2 linked regions of the Callithrix jacchus genome follow. The protein of the gene in region 1 binds, or shares a complex with, the protein of each later gene. Links are inferred from orthologs where the notes say so. Each region holds a gene or a part of one and is shown in the gene's direction. Other genes may lie near its edges. The genes, in order: TNNT2 and TNNC1.

The links.
Region 2: the proteins of TNNT2 (region 1) and TNNC1 are in contact, whole or in part, in a crystal structure (PDB 1J1D), measured with the Homo sapiens proteins. The link is inferred for Callithrix jacchus from reciprocal best matches to the Homo sapiens genes TNNT2 and TNNC1. Residues at the interface, in NP_001263274.1 of Homo sapiens: Gln266, Tyr269, Asn272, Val273, Asn276, Arg277, Asp280; in NP_003271.1 of Homo sapiens: Asp99, Phe101, Arg102, Asp105, Ala108, Asp109, Gly110, Tyr111, Arg147, Tyr150, Asp151.

Annotation. Positions count from the first base shown.
Region 1 is NC_133520.1:28,373,970-28,377,770, reverse strand, and holds part of TNNT2 (troponin T, cardiac muscle), read left to right. Parts: intron 1-66; coding exon 67-144; intron 145-690; coding exon 691-801; intron 802-2,045; coding exon 2,046-2,155; intron 2,156-2,695; coding exon 2,696-2,786; intron 2,787-3,801. UniProt on the Homo sapiens protein: Troponin T is the tropomyosin-binding subunit of troponin, the thin filament regulatory complex which confers calcium-sensitivity to striated muscle actomyosin ATPase activity.
Region 2 is NC_133516.1:34,982,421-34,986,321, reverse strand, and holds the start of TNNC1 (troponin C, slow skeletal and cardiac muscles), read left to right. Parts: upstream 1-1,501; 5' UTR 1,502-1,527; coding exon 1,528-1,551; intron 1,552-3,070; coding exon 3,071-3,101; intron 3,102-3,347; coding exon 3,348-3,494; intron 3,495-3,735; coding exon 3,736-3,850; intron 3,851-3,901. UniProt on the Homo sapiens protein: Troponin is the central regulatory protein of striated muscle contraction. Tn consists of three components: Tn-I which is the inhibitor of actomyosin ATPase, Tn-T which contains the binding site for tropomyosin and Tn-C.

The DNA of each region.
Region 1 (3,801 bases):
TTCCTGTTCCTGCCACATCACCTTCTCCCCATGTACACCTGCACGGGCTTTGCCTCTTCTCCTTAGGAGAGACGTCGGGCCGAGCGGGCCGAGCAGCAGCGCATCCGGAATGAGCGTGAGAAGGAGCGGCAGAACCGCCTGGCTGTGAGTGACGCCCAGCCTGGGCCCACAGAGCCCCCCACCATGCTCCCAGCTCCTGCTGGGCTCCCAGGCCCCTCTCTATTCATCAACATGAATTCAATCAAGAGACAACATCAACCTAGGAAGTGCTGGGCATTGTCTTGGCTCCGATAATACATCAGCAAACAAGAGCGGAATGGCTGGTCCTTATGAACATGTGGTTTGATAAGACTCTCCAGTCCTCACCCCTTCCCCAGTGCAGACTGAAGGCCCTGTAGCTCTCTTCCTGTGCAGCTGCTTAAGGCATTTCCAGAGCAACAGATCTTCCTGGGGCACTCCCAGCTTGAGGGGATGATGAGACCTCGCATTAGGGCATCAGGACCTATCCATTCGTGCCATCATTTCTCACTCAGTGGACTCCTGTGCTGTGCTGGGAGCTACCCCCTCAGAAAACTCCTTACCCAGCAGGGAGAAGGCTGAACTCACCCATAAAGACCAAGAGCTTCAGCCCAGAATTACGGTTTCCCATCCTTTCCCTAATTTGCTTTCTTCCTCCTCCCTGTAAATCAGGAAGAGAGGGCTCGGCGAGAGGAGGAGGAGAACAGGAGGAAGGCTGAGGACGAGGCCCGGAAGAAGAAGGCTTTGTCCAACATGATGCATTTCGGAGGTTACATCCAGAAGGTAGGTGGGGAGCAGCAGGGGTCCCCAGGAGGACCTGGTATAGCCCTGAAGAATGAGCTGTCCACTGCAGCAGGTAGACTTTAGATCAGAACCCAGGAAGAGATTCCCAGCTGCTGCAGGTGGGAGACTAATGTCTCCTCATGCCTAGGCCCTGAGCTGGTTTTCAGCCTGAGTGTGGCTTGCACTAGGAGGGGCCTGCTAGGGTAGGGGCTACAGGCAGAGCCTGGAGCACCAATGGTGCACCACATATCTGGCCCCAGCAGTGCTCAGGAGCCCCCAGGGAGGATGGGTGCAGCTGGAAAAGCCTTGTGCTAAGAGTCAGAGCTCTGGCTGGAGAACCCACTCTGCCACATACAGTTGCGTGACCTTTTGCACCTCTGAGCCTCGGTTTCCTCACCCGGCACTCATTGCCTCGATGGTTTGAGAAGCTCAAATGAGCTACCATGGAAAGTATCTACGTGCCACACAGAGGTTGTTTGTTCTTGGAAACTCACTCTCAGTCCCTAATTTTGTGGGCCATTCTTCCTACATCCTCTGTTCCTAAGGGAGCAGGGCTATGTGAACTTGATTTTCTCTAGGTAGTGATGGAATCAAAACATTTCCTTAGATTTCCAGCTTAGTCCCCAGCTCAGAACTAGGCCACCCCTGCCTCTGCCCCCATGGTGACCACACCAGCCAAGACTTTGGCATCATCACCCCACAGAGGCTGCTGTGAACCCCAGACCCAGGTCCTAGTAAGCCCGGCTGCCTACAGCGAGTGTCTGAATCTTCTCTTCCGTATCTCTCTTCCCTTTGTCTTCCGCCTTCTCTCTGTGTCTCTGTTGCGGTCTCGGTCTTTTTCTCTGGGCCTCTCTCTCATGGTTTCCCGGTTTAGCAGGCCCAGGTGGGTACCAAAACCTCAAACGTTCTTCCTCCCCGTAGTTGTCCGGAACTCCCTGGGAGGGGAAGGTGCCTTGCTGGAGGGGAGGAGTGTAGAGATTGGGCTGGCTGGGGAGGGGGGAGGCTGGTGAGAGGTGGAAGAGGTTAGTTAAGTAAAGGAGGAAGAGGCTGACGTGATCCTCCTTGCTCCTGCCTCAGTTTCCCCAGAGAATGCATGTAGTTGGTAGTGCGTGGTATGGCAGGAAAAAGAGCGTAAGAACCTGGCCCTCCTGCAGGCTTGCTCCACACCCCAGAGGATTCGGGGAGGGTTAGGGGACAGGGAGGGGGCAGTCTAGCCAGTTTTCTCTGCTTCCCACCCCCTTTAGACAGAGCGGAAAAGTGGGAAAAGGCAGACTGAGCGGGAAAAGAAGAAGAAGATTCTGGCTGAGAGGAGGAAGGTGCTGGCTATCGACCACCTGAATGAAGATCAGCTGAGGTGGGGGCTGGGAGGAGTGGTCCTGGGGCACAGCCCGCATCTGGTGGGTGTGTTGGGGTGGGGGTGGGGGGGGAGTTGGGCTGAGGGCACTTCTTGCTGTGAGCCACCAGAGGGCGCAACTGCCTCACATATTTTCCCATGGCAAGTTTGGAGGGACCAGCGCTGGGCCCCCCAGCAGGTCGGGCCGGCTCCTTTCTGGGCTTTGCTGATGGGCAAAGAGAAGTGAGCAGGTACCCCATCTCTCTGAGCTTCATCTTCCCCACCTGCACAGGGGTGTCAGGACGGGGGTTGAACTAGATGCTGTCCTGTGCCAGAAGGGCTTCTCCTGCTGCCCGCGTGTTCTCAGAACTTTACCCTGGCAGCCCCTGGTGTCTGTTCCTGAGCTGCTGCTGGTCCCCAGGCTGGGCCAGGCCCAGGGGGTGGGCTGGGGTACCCTCGGCAAGCCTGGAGGCGGGAATGGGGGCTGGGACCCTTGGGGCTGGGCCAGGACCAGGACAGCGTCCCATGAGGGCTGTTCTTTACCAGCCCTTGCCCCTGCAGGGAGAAGGCCAAGGAGCTGTGGCAGAGCATTTATAACTTGGAGGCAGAGAAGTTCGACCTGCAGGAGAAGTTCAAGCAGCAGAAATACGAGGTGGGGCGCCATGCTGTTCCCCCCACAGCCCCTCTGTCACATGCTCCTGGTTCACTGGGCCGAGCAATACTGCTGCAGGTCACTGGGTCCCTGTCCCTGTTCCCCGCCAACCCCCTTCAGCTCCTGCATCTGCCCCTGCTGTCTGGCCTTCAGCAGGGTTCCGTGTCCACCGTGTTGGCGACTGCTTGCTGGAAGTGTCTGAGAGCTTGCTGGGGCTGAGCAGAGACACTTTCCTGGGGTTCCAACCCTGGGAGTCTCCAACATGTCAAGGCAGCAGCTCAGAGCAGTGAGCTGGATACAAGAACCGGGATGCACCAAGCTAGGAGCCCCAGTGGAGGGGGAGGGCTGCCACCGGGGAGGCACTTCTCCCCACGGACACCCAAGGCCCTGGTGCAGGCAGTCAGGCTGAGCCTCAAGTGCACAGCCTTTCAGGGTCCTGTGTGCACTAACTAGGGTCCTAGGTGAACAAACACCAGGCAAGGAAATGGCTTAGAGGACACTGATGCTGCACACCTGAGCTCAGAGAGGCGCCAGCCCTTCCCTGCCACCACCGCCTCCAAACCCCGCCCTGCCCGGGGCCTCTTTGCTAACTAAGGGAAGAATTCAGCTTCCCCTGGAGGGTCTCCTCTGCTGCTCCTGCCAAACCACTCCTCCCTGGGCAAGGAGCCCCTCCCTGGGTAGACTCAGGCACCAGTGGCTGGAGGGTGCTCCTACCTCCCAAAACGGAGAGAGGCTGTATTGCCTGGCCACAGTGGCATGGACTTCAGAGCCATAGTGCCTGGGCTGAGTTTCTACCTGTGCCCCTCACTGGCTGTGTGACCTTGGCTGAGTTAGTCCACGGTTGCTTGCCTCCATTTCCACAGGTAACACTACAGCCTACTTCGGAGGGTGATGGTGAGGGTGACAGAGATAATAATACTCATTATTATCATTATTATAGTGTTCTGACCACTGTTCTGAGAATTTCCCATGTATTAACTTATTATGTCCTCGCAGCAGCCCTAGGGGTTCATAT
Region 2 (3,901 bases), on another chromosome or scaffold:
TCCCACCGCCCCCCAGCCCCCGTTGCCCCACGCCCCCACCGCGCGCTGTGCCACCATCTTAGTCCGGCCGCCTTCCAGAGCCTTCTCCCCGCCCCTCGTGCGTGATTGACAGGCACCGCCCACGGCGCGCGTGCGCAGCGCTTTCTTGCGTAATCTCTACCTGCGTGGGGCCACCAACGGTACCCTGCGCAGCCTGCTAGAAACTGACCTCTCGGGTGGTGACCGCTCTGGGAATCGCCCCTTAGTCTCTCAGGAAGAGAGGACAGAAGGTCCCGAGCCTCCAGGCAACACGAAGCAAGTCACTGCTCCTCCTGGCCTCAGTTTACTCCTCCGGATAAAGGAGGCCATAATGGCGCCTCACTTGGCTGTTGGGCTCTTTCTCTTTAGGGCAAGACGGGCTGGAGGTGGAAATAGAACCTGTGCTTATCGCTGGAGTAGGGCGAGAGTGATTCTGGGCCGGTTCTGAACCTCTCCGAGACTCGGAGAGCTCTTGTCAGTGGGGCTTCTTGACAACGGAGTGGGTTGATTCATGCGGGGCCTGGCATGCAGTAGTGCTGGAAGCAAGGAACGTGTTTATCAAGACGGGGCTCTGTACGAAGGAGGGCGGAGACGGAGGTGGGAGGGGTGTGTGCTGCCAATGGGTACAGGAACCTCACGGGATGGCCTGTCAGAGTTCAAAACAGGAGGGAGACACGTTGACCTGGACCCACGAACTACAGTGCTAGAATAGGGAACTGAGTCCTAAACCAGGGGAAGATGAGACCTAGAAGAGGGAGGTGGTAACCTGACTGGAGGGTGAGGAGGGAGAGAGCCTGGCACAGATGGGGCATCTGTGGGGGTGCTGTTGAATTACAGAACAGCTGACTGAAGCCCGAAGGGGGCACTTCTCCCTGGGCAGATGGAAGGTCTGGGGCAGGCGCCTCTGGCAGAAGGGCTCCTGACTACCCTGCCCTAAGGTGGGTTAGCATCGTCCTCTGAGCTTGGGATTTGAGGCTTATCTTGGCAGGGCCCTGTACTCCCAACCCCCACTTGCACGTTGCACCCCATTCCAGAGAGGCTGAGTTAAAGGCAGGGGCTATCTTGGGCAAGCCACCACTCTTCCAGAGCCTCAGCTTCCTTATCTGGAAGGTAGGGGTCATAGCACCGGCCTCCCTGGTTGGTGGGAGCCTGGGCTGCTGTGTTGCAGGGGCCTTGCCTGGGGCCCACTACTTTGTGGCTCCTGTCCTGCCCTGGGCTCATGCTTTCATTCATTCCAGAAACCTTTTCAGAGTCCCTTGGGGAGTGTGGGGGACAGGAGCGAAAGAAACCTGGTTCTTGTAGCACTTCATCTGCTCCCTGCCTTGGGCAGAGGACGCAGGGACTCAGGCCAGCCTGACATCACTGGGCCCAGAGGAGGGGCTGGAGGATACTACACGCAGGGGTGGGCTGGGCTGGGCTGGCTGGGAATGCAGTGTGGGGGGGGGGGCAGGGCTATTTAAGTCGAGGGCCGGCTGGCAACCCCAGCAGGCTGTCGTGTGACCCACCAGCATGGATGACATCTACAAGGCTGCGGTGAGGGACAGGGCTGGGTAGGGCTGGGTTGGGCAGGCCCACTGGGGGCTCACTCATCTCAGAATGGGGGGCTGGTAGCCCCAAGGAAGCGGTGGGGGCCCAGGAGAGAGTCTCTGTACCTTCAACCCAGGCCCTCACAGGGACAGTGGTTCTGATGTTTGAAGATGCAGAAGGGGTAGGGGCTCAGGGTCTGAAGGGAAGCTGGTGTTTGGAGATGCAGAAGGGGTGGGAGTTGAGGTCTGAAGGGTGGTGGAGGAGGTCGCCACTTTCAGCATCATGTCTCACTCTGTTTCTAAGTGTCTGTAGTCTGTGGCACTGTCTCTCAGCCACATGTCTCTGCATTTGTCTCTGGACATTTTTGCCTTTCTTTTTTCATCTCTCTTCCTCCTAAGTTGTCTCTCTGAGTCCCTATTACTGTCTCCCTGTCCCCAACCTCCATTTCTGCCCCTCACATTCTGCTTCTCACACACTCACAATCTGCCACTCCACTCCAGCCCTTTGGTTGGTCGAAGATGCTTTGGAGGGTGGAGGGTGTGAGGGGAGGGGCCTGAGTCCTGGGCTGGAGATGGGGCTTTGAAGTTCGAGGCAGGGAAGTTTTGGACATGAGGGAGAACCAAGGAAGAAGGGACAGAGAACTGAGGCCCCAGCCCCCATCGTGCCTGGCAGGCTCAGGGCTCAGTGGCTTAGCTGGGGGTGAGAATGAGGGAATGAGGGCTAGAGAGTGGTCACCCCAAGCCCCTGCAGCCTCCTGGGTCACTGAGGGACTTGAGATGCTGTTCCATTCCTGGATGCTGGTGACCTCCCACTACCCCAGAACAAGGACATCCTGGCCTGGGTAGCTGTCCCCAGGGGAACCCCTCCCTCAGCCTCCCTCACTTCTGGGCAGGGAAGGGCTACAGCCAGCTCTGGGGGCATGCCTGCTTATCCTGTGGGAGTCCATGAAGCTGGGGTGGGGGCAGCCCTCCACCCAGTGCCCATACAAGGCCTGGCGGAGCTGGGGACTAATTTTGGCTCCTGAGGCGGCACTAGTAGGACAGGGGGCCAGATAACACTGCCCCACCCCCTGCATGCCAAAGTCCCCAGAACAATCACCAGGTTTAACTTTGTTCCTCGTTAAAAATAGCCCAGTGGCCACCCTGGTCAGGTTACAGTGGGTAGCTTGTCTACCCCCACATTGGTTTATTGTCCCAACTTGAGGGACAGCTGTTCCTTGGGCCACCCAGCTTGAGTTTCATCACGGGCCAAAAGGGTATTGAGTGGTCACTGACTATTGTTACTGAGGGTCACCTTGGCCCTGAAGGGGGTGCCCACCTGTCACACTGGCCCTGAGCCCAGTCTTAGTGAGGCTAGCTGGGGCACATCAGGGCTTTGTGGGGAGGGAGGGAGGACTGAGACCTCTGTTCTGTGGCCTGGAAATAGCTTGCTTTCCCCAGCTGCAGCTCTCACCTGTGGAATGGGTTGGTTTCAGCAGCAGCAGCTATGTGTGAGGCTGAGCCCTGAGAGTCCCTTTCCTTTCTAGGTAGAGCAGCTGACAGAAGAGCAGAAAAATGGTGAGAACCCCTATCACACGTGCGGGAGACCACCAGGGCCAGGTTGGGAGACCAGGCTGGGGAACGTGGGGACCCCTTACCAGAAGAGGAGCACAGACCAGAGACCAAAGGCTAGGTCCCTCTGCTCTGATCTCAGAGAGGTCTCTGAGGGAGGTGGGCAGGTTGGCAGGTGGCCCCAGGAGTCTGGCCCTCTGAGGTCCTGGCTGTTGAGCCCTGGCTATTGTGCCCCCCAACCTCTGTACACAGAATTCAAGGCAGCCTTCGACATCTTCGTGCTGGGCGCTGAGGATGGCTGCATCAGCACCAAGGAGCTGGGCAAGGTGATGAGGATGCTGGGCCAGAACCCCACCCCTGAGGAGCTGCAGGAGATGATCGACGAGGTGGACGAGGATGGTGAGCCCCTCCTCCCCAGGCTCTAGAGGAAGCCCAGCCAGCGTGGGGCTGGGATGCTGGCTCTGCTTAGCCGGAAGTGGTTTAGCCCCTCCGATCCTCAGTTGCTTCATCTAGAAAATGGGCATAATGGCCACAGAAGCCTGGCATTTGCATCCTCACACCAAATGCCAGGCTTCTGTGGCCACTCTTTGGGCTTGAGTCACCTGCAGTTTCCAACCTGGCCTCTGTAACTGCCTCCCAGGCAGTGGCACAGTGGACTTTGATGAGTTCCTGGTCATGATGGTTCGGTGCATGAAGGACGACAGCAAAGGGAAATCTGAGGAGGAGCTGTCTGACCTCTTCCGCATGTTTGACAAGTGAGCACGTGACCCTTGACCCCTGACCTTGACCCTCACTCAAGCCCAGCT